Saccharomyces cerevisiae S288C: one gene and its partners. Changing the gene in region 1 together with any one later gene gives a genetic interaction. Each region holds a gene or a part of one and is shown in the gene's direction. Other genes may lie near its edges.

Region 1 (3,560 bases):
TTTGGTATTGTTCAAAATTTTCTTCAAACGCTTGTTAAATCTTGAATCAGCGTTGTTATGCACCATGGCCACATGTCTCTTATAGGCGTCTTTGCGCCTAAACGTTTTCTGACAGATAGGAAATGGGCAATTCAGTCCTGGATATTTTTCTACTTTTAGATTTAATGATTTCTCCATCTCTATATCAAGCTCTCCTATATGTTGGGAAGCACAATGTCTTCTCAGACCAGTTGCTTGTTGGAAACCCAATATTTTCCAGGGACATTGCTCTATGGGACACTTACACGGTCTTTCAAGGTTGAATTCGTCTAAGTGCGCGGCAAACTCAACTAACGTTGCGAACTTTTCAGAACAATGAGAACAGTGGTAACTTCCTCTTTTTGTTTGCCCTTCGGAAATTGTGCTGAGTACTTTGGGGTCGTGATATAGCTGTGCCACGTGCGATTTTTGGGGATAGCCTAGAATACACTGTGAATGGGATTGTTCTGTTGTATTGCTCTCAATAAATACAGGATTTGCTCCTTTTTGACGTCCATAATTAATAAGATCTCTGAACTCCGGATCAACTAATGACGTGATACAGTGTGTACTGTCCGCTATTTCATCCGGCCGTAATTGAGGTGCTGTACCTTCCTCAGTAGACGACGTAGAGTCATAAGCCTGTCTCTGATTTCCGGCTATAACTGTGATTGTGTTTTCTAATGATAGTAGTAAACAGTCCTCAGTGCTGGAAGGCAGGCTGGAAGGCAGGCTGGAATCCCCCTCTAAGGGTGATGCCGAATATTCTTTCATGTTTTGCCCGAAATCGTGCCAATGATAAATCGGTTGCACCTCTTGTAAAACCTCTCTGTTCCAAGACCCCTTGGCGATGGCACTGTTTTGTCCATAACACGGTGACATAAGTGCTGAAAATCCCAACTTCTAGTAAAGAATTAACAAATTCAACTGTATGACTTATAGGATAAGAACAATGTCAGTTCCAATGCGTTGACACAGTAGAAAATATATTTACTAAGAAGCAGCTTCGTCGTTGGTATAGTTTCGGTTGATCTAGATATAAATATAACTACAAATAAATGGCAGGAAAAATTGAAGCAAATGACACAGGACATATCTATCACATTGCTCCCTTTAATTTCCTCGAAGGCACTCTGGCCTTTGTTCTCTGCATAAGAAAAAGCCAGCAGAAAATACGGTGATATATTTAATACATGCCCGGCCACTTTTCTGCTGGTAAAGCCCACCGGAAAAGTTCGGATTTTCTTATCCAGTATACGCCGACCTTTTGATGTAATCTGTGACATCTCACTCCGGCGGCCATTTTACGTGACGAAGCATCCCTTACAACAGAAAGAAGAAAAAAGATATGCCGCTTTGCGGTTTCTTTCTGGCAATGTATGCACTCATAATGCTACTCGTTTACCCACTATCCCTGTCCAAACTAAAGAGGGAGGAAAGCACTTTTTGCATTTACACATCGTAGATTATAAAATGATCGTTAACAGGCGCTTGTGATTTTGAATTTAAGAAATGTGGACTAGAGAAGTCTTAAATCGCCAATGCTGTACCAGACTCTCTATAGCATCTAAACACGAAATTCAACTGTTATCTTAGTTTTTCACTTACCAGTAGCGCGCTTGTTATTCCCACGTTATTATTTGCCCCCACATCATAGGTCAAGTGACCTTCTCTTACCCGACATGAATAAAGAAAAGAAAAGAAATCATACCCTTCAGCCTGTTTAGCCATAAATAGTAAAGAGTAGATGTTTCGACGGACTAAATAATGTGAAAAAGGTTCTAAAACCTTCAAAACAATTAAACTTGAGAAACGTTGCTATAGGATTGAGCTAATAATTTGAATTAATAGGAGCTGCTTTTTACTTTGATATATCCTGAAGTTATGTTACGAGTTTCTGAAAATGGTCTACGGTTTCTGCTGAAATGCCATTCAACGAACGTAAGCATGTTTAATAGGCTTCTGAGTACTCAAATAAAGGAGGGGAGAAGTTCCATAGATGATGCTGGCATTATCCCCGATGGAACTATTAACGAAAGGCCGAATCACTACATCGAGGGAATTACTAAAGGCAGTGATCTGGACCTCTTGGAAAAAGGTATAAGAAAAACTGACGAAATGACTTCCAATTTTACAAATTATATGTACAAGTTTCACAGATTGCCCCCCAACTATGGAAGTAACCAGCTCATTACTATCGATAAGGAACTTCAAAAGGAACTGGATGGGGTAATGTCATCCTTCAAAGCTCCGTGCCGGTTTGTATTTGGTTACGGCTCAGGAGTTTTCGAACAAGCGGGATATTCCAAAAGTCATAGCAAACCTCAAATCGATATAATCTTGGGCGTCACATATCCATCACATTTTCACTCTATTAATATGAGGCAGAATCCGCAACATTATTCAAGTTTGAAATACTTCGGTTCCGAGTTCGTGTCTAAATTTCAACAGATCGGCGCAGGCGTATATTTTAATCCATTTGCAAATATAAATGGACACGACGTAAAATATGGGGTGGTTTCTATGGAAACACTTTTAAAGGACATAGCTACTTGGAATACATTCTATTTAGCAGGACGACTACAAAAGCCTGTAAAAATATTGAAGAATGATTTGAGAGTGCAATATTGGAACCAATTAAACTTAAAAGCTGCAGCTACTTTGGCCAAACATTACACCTTAGAGAAAAATAACAATAAGTTTGACGAATTCCAATTTTACAAGGAGATCACTGCCTTAAGTTATGCAGGTGATATTAGATACAAACTGGGTGGAGAAAATCCCGACAAAGTTAACAACATTGTTACCAAAAACTTTGAAAGATTTCAAGAGTATTACAAGCCGATTTACAAAGAAGTGGTCCTAAATGATTCATTTTATCTTCCAAAAGGGTTCACATTAAAGAATACTCAGAGACTTTTGCTCAGCCGTATTAGTAAATCAAGTGCATTACAAACTATTAAAGGTGTTTTCACAGCTGGAATCACAAAGTCAATTAAGTATGCTTGGGCCAAAAAACTAAAATCGATGAGGAGAAGCTAGTGTATCCAATGTTATCTACACATTATCTTTTATCAAAAATGTTTTATCGTCCTTTCATCTCTTTCGAAGAATCGCTCTATTCACATTCCAAATCTCTGGCGTCGGTCAATATTTATTCATCTTTATTTTTACCTTCTTCTAGATAATATACATTATCCCATATTGGCATTCAAACTGACTTACTTGCATTATGGAAGGGGGATCATACGTTCCAGTATATGCAATGGATGTCGTACTTACGAACACATTGTAGCATTTGAAGGGGTATTTCTATATATTTCTATTATTAAGGGTTATATTACAATTATACTTTATAGTTTAAAATATTTAAACAAGTTCTCAAATACTTAAATACTTCTCCATGAGGTGGTCGGCCAACTCAACATTTCCGCTTTGCTGATATATTATAATACTGTTATAGGCAGCATGTTTTTTCAACTTTCCATCATCGTAGTTTTCTAGAACTCTATTATAGTACTCAATTGCAATCGATACCAGAC
Region 2 (4,259 bases), on another chromosome or scaffold:
AATTTTTTTTTTACTTATATTATACCCATCTTTTTCGATATTCCTGCTGGCATTGTTTTGGCTACATTTTCAAGAAACTTTGGATCCAAAGACAAAAGGAACAAACGAAATCTAAAAGCAAAAAAAAAGTTGACTGATTATAAAAACTACATTACGACGAAAAGAAAATAATAAAACTGTGTACTTTTAGTTTTGCATTTATGTATTGACTGTTATTTAACTTATTATGACCTCATGAAAGAACAAAACTTAGCGTGTATTGTTCTGCTCAGTGCCTTGTATATATAATAATGTTCATGAAAAAATTTTTCTAGGCCGAACTTAAGTGATTTCATGCAGTAGTAAAAGTTTTTAAAATTTTTACTAAAATAGTTCTGAGAAAGAAAAGGTAAAACACGCAATGCCTATCAATCAACCGTCGGGACAGATTAAGTTAACTAATGTTTCATTAGTGAGATTAAAAAAGGCTCGCAAGAGATTTGAAGTCGCGTGCTACCAAAATAAGGTCCAAGACTATCGAAAAGGAATTGAAAAAGATCTGGATGAAGTGCTGCAGATACATCAAGTTTTCATGAATGTTTCGAAAGGCTTGGTTGCTAATAAGGAAGATCTACAAAAGTGTTTCGGGACTACAAATGTTGATGATGTCATCGAGGAGATCATGCATAAGGGAGAGATTCAATTATCGGAAAAAGAAAGACAATTAATGCTTAATAAAGTTAATAACGAAATGCTTACAATAGTTAGCGCTAAATGTATAAATCCTGTGTCAAAGAAAAGATATCCGCCCACAATGATCCACAAAGCTTTACAGGAACTGAAGTTCAGCCCTGTTATTAACAAACCTGCCAAATTGCAAGCTTTAGAGGCTATCAAATTATTGGTTTCTAAGCAAATTATTCCAATAGTAAGGGCGAAGATGAAAGTCAAAGTGGCCATAAGTGAGCCATCTAGACAACCCGAACTTATTGAGAAGATTAGTAAATTGATAGCTTCATCGCCTGGAGAGTCAACGAAGCCGGAATTGGATCCTTGGACATGTACAGGTCTTATCGATCCTGTCAATTATAGAGATTTGATGACCCTATGTGATAAAAAGGGAACTGTGCAAGTCTTGGATATGGCAGTCATAGATAATACAACGCATAACTAATTTATATAGAATCACTTTGCATACATATCTTTGATACACTTTAACACAAAAACTAATTTGCCAAAATCATTATCGTCAGCGCTTTGTTCCTTCGTTGCTCTCCATATCTTACTGCTCATGGATATCAGCAAGCTGAATTGCATGTTGTCTTGGGCCATCGTACCGCTCACTTCTGGTAGAATAACTCTCCTATATAGTTCGGCAATCTGTACGCATACCACGGGTACTTTAGGATCGGCACTATCTCCCAACTTGGTAACCACTTGATAATCAGATAAATGGTCTCTTACAAATTCTTCTTCCTCATCGTCATAATCGCCACCCGTGTTTCCTAGGTTTCCTGCCAGTGGTACGTTGATATCGAGAATTGGGTTTAGTCCTTTTGAAGATACCTCATAGGTGGAATCCATTTCCCCATTTAGTCTGATTTGCAATAGAATTGTGTTATTAAAGTGCGTGGCTTGTACATACAATTCTTTGTTTTCGGATGAAGCGTTCAATGAGCTATCTTTTCCTTTCGGTAGATGAGTTTGGAATTCATATGATATCATATTTGCAACAGTATTTTGTACAAAAATAGCCCATTCTTTTTGTCATTGTTAATATTTTGATTCACCATTGGCGTTGTTATCCCAATAATTCGCGCATTAAGTTCTTCATTTTTTTTCACACAAATAGTACGCAAATGTTTCTCATCAAAGGTATAATTAAAATTGTTGGGAAATACTCAACTATCATTGGGATCCCCGTGGCACCTTTACGATAAGCATGGTAAATAAGGTGGTTGATGAGGTTCAGCGGTTGGTGAGCGCAATAATTCTCACTTCGTTTATGACGGGGTTATTCATTTTGTCACTATGGAAGAATTACGTGACAGTTCATTTCCAACATAAAAATGATCCAAGAGATACAAGAAGTTCGAGAACCAAGATCCAGCCAAATGACAAGAAGAAGAAACGACCAGCACGTCACTCTAGACCTTTGTCAATATCTTCCACAACGCCCTTAGATTTACAGCGGGATCAGGAAAATAATATTGAATATGACCGTACTGTGACTAGCAAGCTGTCCATGACTAGTAATGCCTCTTTATCAGAGAACGGTGATGGAAATGCTAATATTAAAATGGAAACGAATGTGAACCAAGCCCCATATGCTGCAGAGAATCCCTTCCAAAACATTGCGCTTGCGGAGGATACCAAGCTGGTACCTGACTTAAAGTACTATTATAAAGAGTATGGTATTGATATTGAAGAATTTGAGGTGGAGACAGACGACGGTTTTATCATTGATTTGTGGCACTTCAAGTCCAGGTTAAACGATGGCGTAGAGGAAGTGAAACGTGAACCCATTTTGCTATTACACGGTCTTTTGCAAAGTTGCGGGGCCTTCGCATCTTCAGGTAGAAAATCTCTGGCATACTTCCTTTATGAATCTGGATTTGATGTTTGGTTGGGGAATAACAGATGTGGCTTAAATGCCAAGTGGAACATGAAAAAATTAGGTAATGATCATTCCAAAAAATGGGATTGGGATATGCACCAGATGGTTCAATACGATTTAAAAGCACTTATAAATTATGTACTTGATAGTACCGGATATGCTAAACTATCGCTCGTGGCGCATTCACAAGGTACAACACAAGGGTTTATGGGGCTTGTCAACGGTGAGAAACTATACGCAAGTGATTTTAAATTAGTCGATAAGCTGGAAAACTTTGTTGCTTTGGCACCTGCAGTGTACCCTGGACCTTTATTGGATGAAAAAGCATTTGTGAGGCTAATGGCAAAAGGTATTGATTCTCCGTGGTACTTTGGTAGAAGATCGTTTATACCTCTTATGATGACAATGAGAAAACTAATGGTTGGGACCAAGATTTTTTCGTTCCTCTCATACATCATGTTTAACTACCTATTTGATTGGAACGATGTCTTATGGGATAGAGTTTTAAGGGACCGAAATTTCTTATTTTCACCAGTCCATATTTCCGTCAAACTAATGCAATGGTGGTTGTCACCTCTTCCTAATAAGCTAAGTTTTAAGAAGGGTGCAGAGAAAATTTTTCCAGATAAAAAGACATGGTTTCCTATTGCCAAGAATGATGATGACAGTGGCAATAATTTGGATAACAACAAACTACACTTAAATCCGAAAAGACAAAATAGTGAAGAATTTCCACACATTATAATGTTTATTCCAAAGCAAGATAGATTAGTAGATGGTGAACGATTAATTAATCACTTCATTAATCATGAAGCAAATGCAGTGTACAAAATCTGGTATATTGATGAGTATTCCCATCTGGACGTTTTATGGGCGCATGATGTTATAGATAGAATTGGTAAGCCAATGATAGAAAATTTGAGGTTTCCTAATGCAAGGTGAGGTAAAAGTTTTTTCTTTGTGGTTTCTTTGTAAAATATAATATGCCATAAAAAGAGGAAAGAAAAGCATAATAAATAGATATATGTATAGAGTATATATTTATATATATGCTAGTATATACGGATATATGTATCTGTAGATGTTACACGTAAAGTACAATTGATACATGTAATAAGCAAATTAATTCATTAAGTTTATAAATATCCGGTGAAGTCTTCTGTATAAAAAGAGAAACATGAGTTCGTCCAAACATATAACCGAAGGGGGGGGTAATAAAAAGAGCCTGCTTTTTATGTTACTGAGAAATCTATATCGTCACATCCAACACGCTCCCCACATCCAACACGTTTCCTGATGAAAGGTCCTCCAAAAGTGGGATAATATCTAGTAACTCATTATCATGAGTATCAGAGAACCAAGAAGATATCGGAACAGCATGTTGCGGATGAAAGATGTAAGAGGCCGGCGAATTATCTAAGATGATTGTTTCGGACAATGGTCTTCCGATCTGCGATAAGTTCTTGATGTAGTTACCTTCGTAGTTATAACAAGCTTCTCTGAATAATCGATGATGGATGGTTCCATTAGGGTCCAACGTATCTAAAAGGGGGTTTGCATACCTCGAAACACTTGCCGTGAACACAACAACTTCGTATAGTTGACTCACCCTGTTCAAGAACTCATCGACGCCTGGCCTCTTAATAACATAGACATTGTGAAC
Region 3 (4,543 bases), on another chromosome or scaffold:
GATTTTGCAAAAGGGTGTTGATGGTAGTGGCCAGTAACCCACTCTTGATAGAGGACTGGGAGACATCGATCAGGAAACAGTAAGTGGCTGGAGGTGGTTGTCTTAGAGTATATTCCTTTGGGGCCATATATTCCATCACAGCACATTTGATTTCATTTCTGTCGTATCTACTCTTTGGGTCGTTTGGATCGCTCTGGTCCATTTGCATAGGAACGTCATTGGCCAGACGACAAAAGTTACATCTCCATCTTCTGCCTTGCTCGATAAAAGTGACAAAAGGGTTCATGTAAGAACGACAACGACGACAACGGACAATAAGTCCATCTTCATTCAATGGAGGCGGGTCGATATCGTCGTACAAGTGTTGGTATGGTCTGATAACAAGCCCAAATGGAAGTTTAGACTTCTTCAGCAGGGAGCTGTTCTTAGGAACGGCGTTCAAGGTCGACCTGATATAATCTGGAGACGCATTGGACAATTCAGAAGGAACTAACATCCTTTCTGGAGGAATAACCAACGGTGGGGGAGGCAAGGTCAGATCGGTAATTGGAGGAGGCAATTCCGTCAACAGATCGATTGGATACAACTGGTTCATGGGCCTCATGTTTTGGCCCATTGCGGCGCTAGGTTGGCCATACGCAGGCGCTGCCATTGGTTGTTGCTGTTGCTGCAAAGGTGTGCCCATTTGCACGGGAACCTGTGGCTGCATATAAGCGTTAGGATCGACTAGCGGTACGTTGTGCAGATGCATATCGTTCATGGAAGTGGTGGCCTGATCAATTTGCTGGTGTAACTGTTCTTGAGCAGGGGTTAGGAATTGTTGCTGCCCCATGGAAGGGACTGCACCCTGTGGCGGCATTCCCATCTGACCATAGCTCATTCCAGCTGCAGCAGGATCCTGCGGAGGCATGAATTGTGCTGGCTGTTGTAGAGGGGTGGCATTTTGTCCATACTGGAGCTGAGCTTGTGGGTAAACACGTTTCTTGTGATGAGACATTTTGCAGATGGTCTCAGACTTATATATTTATGTCTGTTTCAATGCGGCAAAAATGGACCTGAGTGCCAGATAAAACCTTTTTGTAGTGCTATTTTTGGCCTGTTTCCTGATGTACCATCCTCCTTACATAGTTTTGTTTTTCTTCGTTTTCGTTCTTCCAGTTTTCATTTTCTTCTGCCGTAAATGGAAAAAACAAGAAAAAAAAAAAGAGAACAGCTAAGCGTTAACAAATCTGCTCCAGTGGCCATGTCCAAGACTGTTTTTCAAGCCCAGATAGTGCCTGAATAGACTGCATTAAGCTGAAAAACTTATAGCAGTGGTTAGTGCAAAATGCACACTTGTCAGTGCTATGTATATTTGTGACACGATTCTATCACCCAAACATAGCACTAATTACTTTTTTGTTACCCGGCATTCTAGGCGGAAATTTGCTGAAATTTTCCATCAATTAATTACGTAACCTATTCTTTTAAGAGCATGATGTTGTATATAAATATAGATCACCTTAGGAACAGTCAGGCTTTCTTAGGTTTCAGAAGTTCATGTGTCTTGGCGCAGTCAATTCTCTCGATCTTTTTTTGGTTTGGACGTTTAAGAGTAGCGGTCGCCGGAAAATAGAGAGAAAAAGGAAATTTAAAAGGAGTTCTTCTTTCTTCTTATTATTAGATCGTATACAGTAAAAAAAAAAAAAGGAAGTAGTAGTTCGAAGAGAAAGAAATAAATGGTAGGCTCGAAGGATATTGATCTATTCAACCTGAGAGAGAACGAGCAAATCGTTTCTCCTTGTCTTATCGTGCACGGAAAATGCAATAAGCAAAATGGTGCGAAGACCGTTCAAGTGCAGCATCCACAATTGCCTCCAATTACTTACCCCATACATAATCAGTTCTTCAAGGCCACTGTGATATTGACTCCTGGTGAGAACAAGTTGACCTTTGTTACAGACACTAACACCGCTAGGACAATCGTATGTTACTACACACCACTGACGCAGAACCCTCCCGTACACCTGTGTCTGATCTTGGCCAAGGATTCGCCTTTACAGTTTGACTCTCCTCGAGAACAGAAGGACAGAGAGGGCGGGAATGGCCTCGAATTGGCAATCAAGAAGCTAAGACTTGGGGCCAGACTCATGCAAGCGTACACGAACGAGCAAATGCTGAGAAACAGTATGGGAAATAGGACGTTTCCCTTTGTTGAAGAATTTACCTGGGACACGCTGTTCGAACGGCCTGCTATGAGAAACACCATCAAAATACATGTAGTTCGTTCGGAAAAGACGGTGAAGGAAATCCAGGACCCTGACATAGCTCAACAGAATTCCAAAGGGAAAAACACCGGCGCCCTTTTTGGGATAGCCATGGACGCCCTTAAAAGTTACGGCGGACCCTTCACCAATAACGAAAAGCCTGTTCAGGCAGCTTGTATGTTTCTAGACACCCACTGGGATGGTAAGTTGATTAGAGGCCACGCCGCATTGGGTGGGGGTGACGACAGCATTAAGCTCGCCATTTTTGGGTCGCACGGGCTTTACTCATGGCCTACTTGTCTCGAGCAATTGGTGCCTTATTTTACTGATGAGACAAGATCCTCCACCAGTGAAGTCGCCAACGACTGTAATGAGTGTGGTACTTACTGGGAATGTTTGACTATCACGTTGGGAGCATTTATGCATGAGATTGGTCACTTACTGGGTTGTCCTCATCAGGAAAGCGGTGTTATGCTAAGAGGCTATACCACTTTGAATAGGTCTTTCTTGACTAAAGAGGCTTATTCTGTAAGAACTAATTCAACTGGTGCTAGTCCTCCCATCTTCCCCAAGGAAGAATGTACCTGGAACCGTCTCGATACGGTAAGATTTTTGTACCACCCCTCTTTCACTTTACCACAGGATTATTACGATCCATCGTTCATGAGACCTACAAAATTGGGCGGATACCCCAATATAAAACACTCTGTATATCCTTTGGGTAACGGCAGTTGCCGCATATTATCGCCCACAGGAATCTATTTGATTGAAATTATATGTGATGATTTGGCCAGGGGCCATATTGAATACTTGCCGGTTTCCCTAGGTGGACAGGGGCCTCAACGGGAAGTTATAGTAACATTAGATGATTTACGTGCCAGGTTGCCCAAGAATGAACTCGCCAAGTTTGGCAATACCTTCAAATTGAAAATTCTTTCTGTTAATGCACCGGAAACCGAGTTCGACAAGTTCCCATCTTTGTTAGATGTTCAGCCATTAGACATGTCGAAATATGGGTTTTCTAAAAATGTTCAAGGTATCAAATCACCACTTTATGGTCGCAGCGACGGTGGTAATGCTGTCGGCGTCGTCGCTTTTGATGTTAGATTAGTCACTGCTGTGAGAATATACCATGGCTATGCATTAGATGGTGTGAGGTTTTATTACAAGGAAAAACCAACTGGAACAAAGGATGCTCCCGCATCCAAGCCCTCTGTACCACCAAGAAATTATTTCTCAAAAATTACACATAGTATCAAAAATCATGCTTCAATAAACGAAGAAAATCTAAAAAGTGTACTCTTTGGACATGAAACACAAAATTTTACGGATGCTACACTAGAACCGGGTGAAATAATCATTGGGTTTAATCTGAGGTGCGGAGCTTGGGTTGATGCTATCCAAATTATAACGAGTCATGGGAGAATGACCGACATGTTTGGTAACAAAGACGGAGGTGGGTTCGCTGAATTGCAGCCACCTAATGGCCAATATATCCTAGGTGTGACTGGCAGAGTCGGTCAATGGGTCGACGCCTTCGGAATTATTTACGGAGCTTTATAGTAATTAGTCAAGGTTTTTTTTTTCTTATTTTTTTCTATTTCATAACTTAGTCATATCAAAATATATCTATTAAATTATTTTCCATATATACGTAGATATTCTTCATTTGCATAATTCTTTGGGAAAAAGGAAAACAGTTATAGAAAAATATAAACAAAAAACCGCAACACTTCATGATTGCGTCGAACAATATACCTTAAAGAAGAAAAAAAAAGGTTGGTTTTATCACTTCATTAGTCTATTTGAATAATTCATAAAATATTTCTGATTTTTTTTTTTTTTTTTTTTTTTCATATTATTTTAAACGTGACTTTGGCTGCGATTCATGGTTTTTGCCCTTATATCTTCGTTGTCATTATTATCAGCATTATTAGGATAATCCTTTCCATGTAATAGAAAACTTTTATTTTTCAACATGGATAACTTTTCGTCCACTTTATCTATTTCAAAAATTTGCCTTGGTGTAGCCGCTGACTTCTTTACATTAGGTACATTAGAAGCCGCTTTATTGTTGTTAGCCAAAAGAGGATTCACGTTGTTTTGATTTGGAACAACCCTGGGACGATGTATCGAAATTGAGGTACCTCCACCATCTAAGATGTTATTAGAAGTATTAGTGGCCATAAGTGGTGCAGATAATGGTATTCTCGAATCACCATTTTCATTCTTGATGTTAAAGTTGCTCCCAATGAGAGTGGTATTATTGCTGCCAGTTTGAGCACTAACGCTATTCT
Region 4 (5,040 bases), on another chromosome or scaffold:
GCCTCCTTTGAAGGATTAATAACCATTAAATTAGAAGCAAATTTTAATTTTCCAACCTTTTTACTACTTTGGAAATCAAATAACGGCGATAAAGATGATGTAGAACTTATAATGTCCTGAGCTATGTTATTAGAATTCAAGTACAATGAATGCGGCAAACTCGGCAAATGATTATAAATCATCTGACCTTTCCCAATTCTTTTAGTCAGCACTTTTGTATACGACTGGAGGTTGATTGGTTGCTTTTCACGGTGTCGCGTTTCATGGTATGATTTTTCCAAATCACTGTTAGATAAAAACCAGTATGTTAATGGAGCTGCAAATTTGATATAATTTGGTAGGAAAAATAATTCGTCCAAGCTTGATCTTAAAATTGCGTCGTTGTCAAGATAAATCACACGGTCAAATTCTGTTTGGTTAAATACTAGTAATTTTGTTAAACTTTCATTCCAAGGTGTAGTATCCTTTGGCTTCACAATGTTATCTATCAACTTGATAACTACCTGGTCCTCATCTATAGCTTGAATCTTGTTAAGGAGTGAACTAATGTAAGCCACATTTGAGGAAGTGTTTGGGTCTAGCAGATCTTTAGATATCAGAAGAACTAACTTGGCCTTTGTCTCAAACTCCTGTTTCAGATCATTGAATATGATCAGCGTATTACAAAGATAATCAGCATTAGTCACATAATTCACGTATGCAAACTTGGACCACTCGATGACCTCACCGTTTTTCAACTCTTTATCTAAACGGGCGGTATATAAGTCATCTATCGTTTCCTTGGGTATTTGCTTGATTTCTAATGGGTTGTAAATTTCGTGAAGCCCATCCTTCCTCTGTTGAAAATACTTTTTATAGAACTTTATTTCTTGGTTATACTGAAAATGAACAACAAGTCTTGATACTACGAATACAGTGAGGACGCCGAACAAAATAAACACAATAAATCTGATTCTTCTTTTGGATATCAACCTCATAATTGGAATGATAGTTCCGAAGTATACAGTTTAGCAAATAATGTCACAATGTTGTCCACAAGTGGTCGGTATTTGTTTCCCGGTGATTTCGACTAATCCACCAGCCTGATACAGTACGATCATCACTAATGAACGAGAACCGAGCACTAGTTTATAGTGTACCAGATGCTAGTTTTGCTCAAACGGTCGCGTGCTGAGCGGAACGAGAGAGTATACAAGTGATATTTTAAAAAGCCCTACATTTTATCAAAACCCTAAACGCCAATGTTGAGCAACCCTAAAACGTTGATGGCGGCTATTTTTCCAATTTTTAAGTATCATAAGCATATTCTCCAAATGAATGGATCTTACCAATGAATACCAATGCAATAAACTTTTGAAAATGCTTCTGGAATAAATGTAATAATTCTGGTACGGTTGCCGGATGTTACTAAAAAAGTAAGTAATCTGTTTACTTGAACTTCCTCATAACTAAGGAATACAAACGTTTACTGCGGCTTAAAAATTCAACAGGTTTACTCTCCTAAGTAGTATTCTCTTAATTTCTGCCTTGTTAAGAGAATACTTCCCTTTTCTGTAAGTATGTTACATTTCTTTATAGTAATCATCCTAGAGGCATTACAGCTAAAAGGAACCTGTCCCGGGTTAGTATTCCAGATGACTTGACGAATGTTTGCGTTAACGAAAATGGATATGTAAAGAATGAATGAGTTACCACCCTGTAAGAACTCGTTTAAGAACAAAGCTCAGATCTAGATTAGGCACTCGCGCCCTTTAATTGAAAATCGCGACGCGAGGAAAGGCAAATATAATAGGCCACCTGGCCGGTGTACAATAGAAAATCTCTAAAGAAGGGCATTCCAACTCTTCCTTTCGACATAAGAGTAAAACAAATATTTGTGTGCTCCAAATACCGGCAAATAAAATAACAGACAATGCCGTACAGAGTGGCGACGGGCTACAGTGAAAAAAGTACTGACGATGATTTGATATGGAGAACGCCAATAGTAAAAGAGGAACTCGAGGATGCTGACAACTTTTTAAAGGATGATGCCGAGTTGTATGATAAAGTCAAGAACGAGAGTGCAGTATCACACCTGGATACCATAGTTATGCCGATCATTTTCACGGTACTGGGCATGTTCACTAGAATGTACAAGATTGGTCGTAATAATCATGTGGTCTGGGATGAAGCTCATTTTGGTAAGTTCGGCTCTTACTATCTGAGACACGAATTTTACCATGATGTTCATCCACCTTTAGGTAAAATGCTTGTTGGACTGTCTGGTTATTTGGCTGGCTACAATGGTTCTTGGGACTTCCCATCTGGTGAGGTTTATCCCGACTATATCGATTATGTGAAAATGAGGTTATTTCAAGCAATGTTTTCATCATTGTGTGTGCCACTAGCCTATTTCACAGGAAGGGCTATCGGATTTTCTAGGCTGAGTGTTTGGCTATTTACCATTCTAGTAATTTTTGAGAATTCGTATGCAACATTAGGCAAGTTCATTCTCCTTGATTCAATGCTACTTTTCTTTACCGTCTCTTCTTACTTTTGCCTTGCCAAGTTCCATACTATGAGAAAGTCTCCCTTTTCGGCTAGGTGGTGGCTATGGTTGTGCCTCACTGGGTTGAATTTGGGTTGCGCTATATCTGTGAAAATGGTAGGTCTTTTCATCATCAGTGTAGTAGGAATTTACACCATCAGTGAACTATGGAATCTCCTAAGTGATAGATCGGTGTCTTGGAAGGTTTATGTCAACCATTGGCTAGCAAGAATATTCGGGCTTATCATCATTCCTGTTTGCGTTTTTTTGTTATGCTTCAAAATCCATTTTGATCTGCTGTCCAACTCAGGGCCCGGCGACTCTACCATGCCATCATTATTTCAAGCCAGTCTGAACGGTACAAAAGTTGGTAAGGGACCACGTGATGTTGCTTTGGGTTCTTCTATTATTTCCATCAAAAATCAAGCGTTGGGAGGCGCTTTATTACATTCTCATGTCCAACCATTCCCAGAAGGTTCTGAGCAACAGCAAGTAACTGTCTATGGTTACAGTGATGCTAACAATGAATGGTTTTTTCAAAGAATCAGAGGAGTAGAGCCTTGGACTGATGCTGAGAACAAGACAATTGAGTTTGTAAAGGGTGGCGAAATGTATAGATTAATGCATCGCCTAACAGGCAAGAATCTACACACCCATGAAGTCCCAGCGCCTATATCGAAAAGTGAATATGAAGTTTCTGCTTACGGAGATGTAGACTTAGGTGACTACAAAGATAACTGGATTATAGAAATCGTGGAACAAGTAGGGGAAGAAGATCCAACACTACTACACCCGCTATCCACATCTTTCCGTATTAAAAATTCTATACTGGGTTGCTATTTAGCTCAGTCAGGTAAACATTTACCAGAATGGGGTTTCAGGCAAGGTGAAGTTGTCTGTTTAAAACACGCCTCCAAAAGGGATAAGAGAACCTGGTGGAATATCGAAACACATGAAAATGAAAGATTGCCACAGGGAGAAGATTTCGTATATCCGAAGACTTCATTCTTCAGGAATTTCATGCAGTTAAATTCAGCAATGATGGCAACCAATAATGCTTTGGTACCAAACCCTGAAAAGTTTGATGGTATAGCTTCATCTGCCTGGCAATGGCCAACCTTGAACGTCGGGGTAAGATTATGCGAATGGAGTGAAAAATCTATAAAGTACTTCTTATTAGGATCTCCTGCGTCCGTCTGGCCCTCAAGCATCGCAGTTTGCGCACTGATAATACACGTTATATTCTTAACTCTGAAATGGCAGAGACAATGTGTTATCCTATCCGATCCAGTCGAACGTGACGTGTTCGTTATGGCAGCCTTTTATCCATTGCTTGCTTGGCTTTTACATTATATGCCATTCGTAGTGATGTCAAGAGTTGTATACGCTCACCACTATCTGCCCACCCTTTATTTTGCCTTAATGATCTTGTCATACTACTTCGATATGATTACCAAACGTTGGGCTACAAGAAACACTGGAAAATTTCTAAGGCTAGGAGCTTATATTGTATACGGATCAATCGTGATCGCTGGATTTTTTTATTTCTCTCCTTTTAGTTTTGGGATGGATGGTCCAGTAGATGATTACGCGTACTTGGCATGGCTACCTACGTGGCAGATTGTTGAAGATATACGTAACACATAGATATATAGAATGATCAAAAACTTTTCTTCACCACACAAAAAATGTTAATTGATGCGCGAAATATCTTTTTCGACTTATGCCTTCTTCTTTATCATAACAAAGCTATGTACCTACGACGAAATGAAGATATTAATCCAGTCCAGCCTTAAGAAAATACGAGAAAAAAAATGCTCAAGTGTTAAACAATGCCTGTATGTAGTTATCTGTGAAATGCATCAAATCATGGTCAGGGTTTGCTTATTGATCAGATTTGTAGTTTTCAGGTATCTAAGATAAAAATATATGGTAAATACCTTTAACGAATATTATAAAATCTACTGGGTTATTCTATTGGAATCTAGAAAATCGGAAAAGTTTTGTATTCTGATATCTCTTGTGCTATGTGGTGTCAACACATGTCCACGAAAAGGTACACTACCCTGGACACTAACAACACTTTCCAGTGGTGGTGACTGTACTGTGGTAAGGGATCTTTGCGAAGAGGAAGCAGGCTGGTAGTGATGTGCGGTTGGTGGTATCGTTAATTTATTTTGTGTGATCGTTACTTCCTGTACGTTAGGACCAGGTTCGAGCCCTTGGCTCTCATAGTTCCCAATATCTTCATCGCTGCCGCCCACAAAATCATCCTCTGATCTAACAGGAGTACTCATTGTTGAATAAAGTTTATTTTTGATTCCATTATTTATAGAGAGCTCGTAACATGGTGGCGAGAGCAACTCGACATCTTGGTAAATGGGAGGAACTTCTTCGTCCCAGGAGATTCCAAGTCCAGATCTTTCAGTGACTGTTAATCTGAATTGCATTCTTAAAACACGTGCTGCACCAGTGGGAACACTCACTATATTAGAGTTACTAGCACCGTTAGA

What was found.
Region 2: mutations in TAM41 (region 1) and YEH2 together harm fitness more than expected from each alone (negative genetic interaction), as found in Saccharomyces cerevisiae (one large-scale study listed by BioGRID).
Region 3: mutations in TAM41 (region 1) and YIL108W together harm fitness more than expected from each alone (negative genetic interaction), as found in Saccharomyces cerevisiae (one large-scale study listed by BioGRID).
Region 4: mutations in TAM41 (region 1) and PMT3 together harm fitness less than expected from each alone (positive genetic interaction), as found in Saccharomyces cerevisiae (one large-scale study listed by BioGRID).

What each region holds. Positions count from the first base shown.
Region 1 is NC_001139.9:582,993-586,552, forward strand, and holds TAM41 (putative phosphatidate cytidylyltransferase), read left to right. Parts: upstream 1-1,902; coding exon 1,903-3,060; downstream 3,061-3,560. Other genes in the region: RME1 (Rme1p), read right to left, coding at 1-900; YGR045C (uncharacterized protein), read right to left, coding at 942-1,304; transcription factor TFIIIC subunit TFC4, read right to left, coding at 3,400-3,560. UniProt on the Saccharomyces cerevisiae protein: Catalyzes the formation of CDP-diacylglycerol (CDP-DAG) from phosphatidic acid (PA) in the mitochondrial inner membrane.
Region 2 is NC_001144.5:181,068-185,326, reverse strand, and holds YEH2 (sterol esterase), read left to right. Parts: upstream 1-1,921; coding exon 1,922-3,538; downstream 3,539-4,259. Other genes in the region: guanine nucleotide exchange factor SDO1, read left to right, coding at 401-1,153; IRC25 (Irc25p), read right to left, coding at 1,165-1,704; PSR2 (putative phosphatase), read right to left, coding at 3,846-4,259. UniProt on the Saccharomyces cerevisiae protein: Mediates the hydrolysis of steryl esters. Required for mobilization of steryl ester, thereby playing a central role in lipid metabolism.
Region 3 is NC_001141.2:159,169-163,711, forward strand, and holds YIL108W (putative metalloendopeptidase), read left to right. Parts: upstream 1-1,718; coding exon 1,719-3,809; downstream 3,810-4,543. Other genes in the region: COPII subunit SEC24, read right to left, coding at 1-997; PFK26 (6-phosphofructo-2-kinase), read right to left, coding at 4,110-4,543.
Region 4 is NC_001147.6:914,118-919,157, forward strand, and holds PMT3 (dolichyl-phosphate-mannose-protein mannosyltransferase PMT3), read left to right. Parts: upstream 1-1,912; coding exon 1,913-4,174; downstream 4,175-5,040. Other genes in the region: GNT1 (glucose N-acetyltransferase), read right to left, coding at 1-977; LDB19 (Ldb19p), read right to left, coding at 4,489-5,040. UniProt on the Saccharomyces cerevisiae protein: Protein O-mannosyltransferase involved in O-glycosylation which is essential for cell wall rigidity. Forms a heterodimeric complex with PMT5 and more rarely with PMT1 to transfer mannose from Dol-P-mannose to Ser or Thr residues on proteins.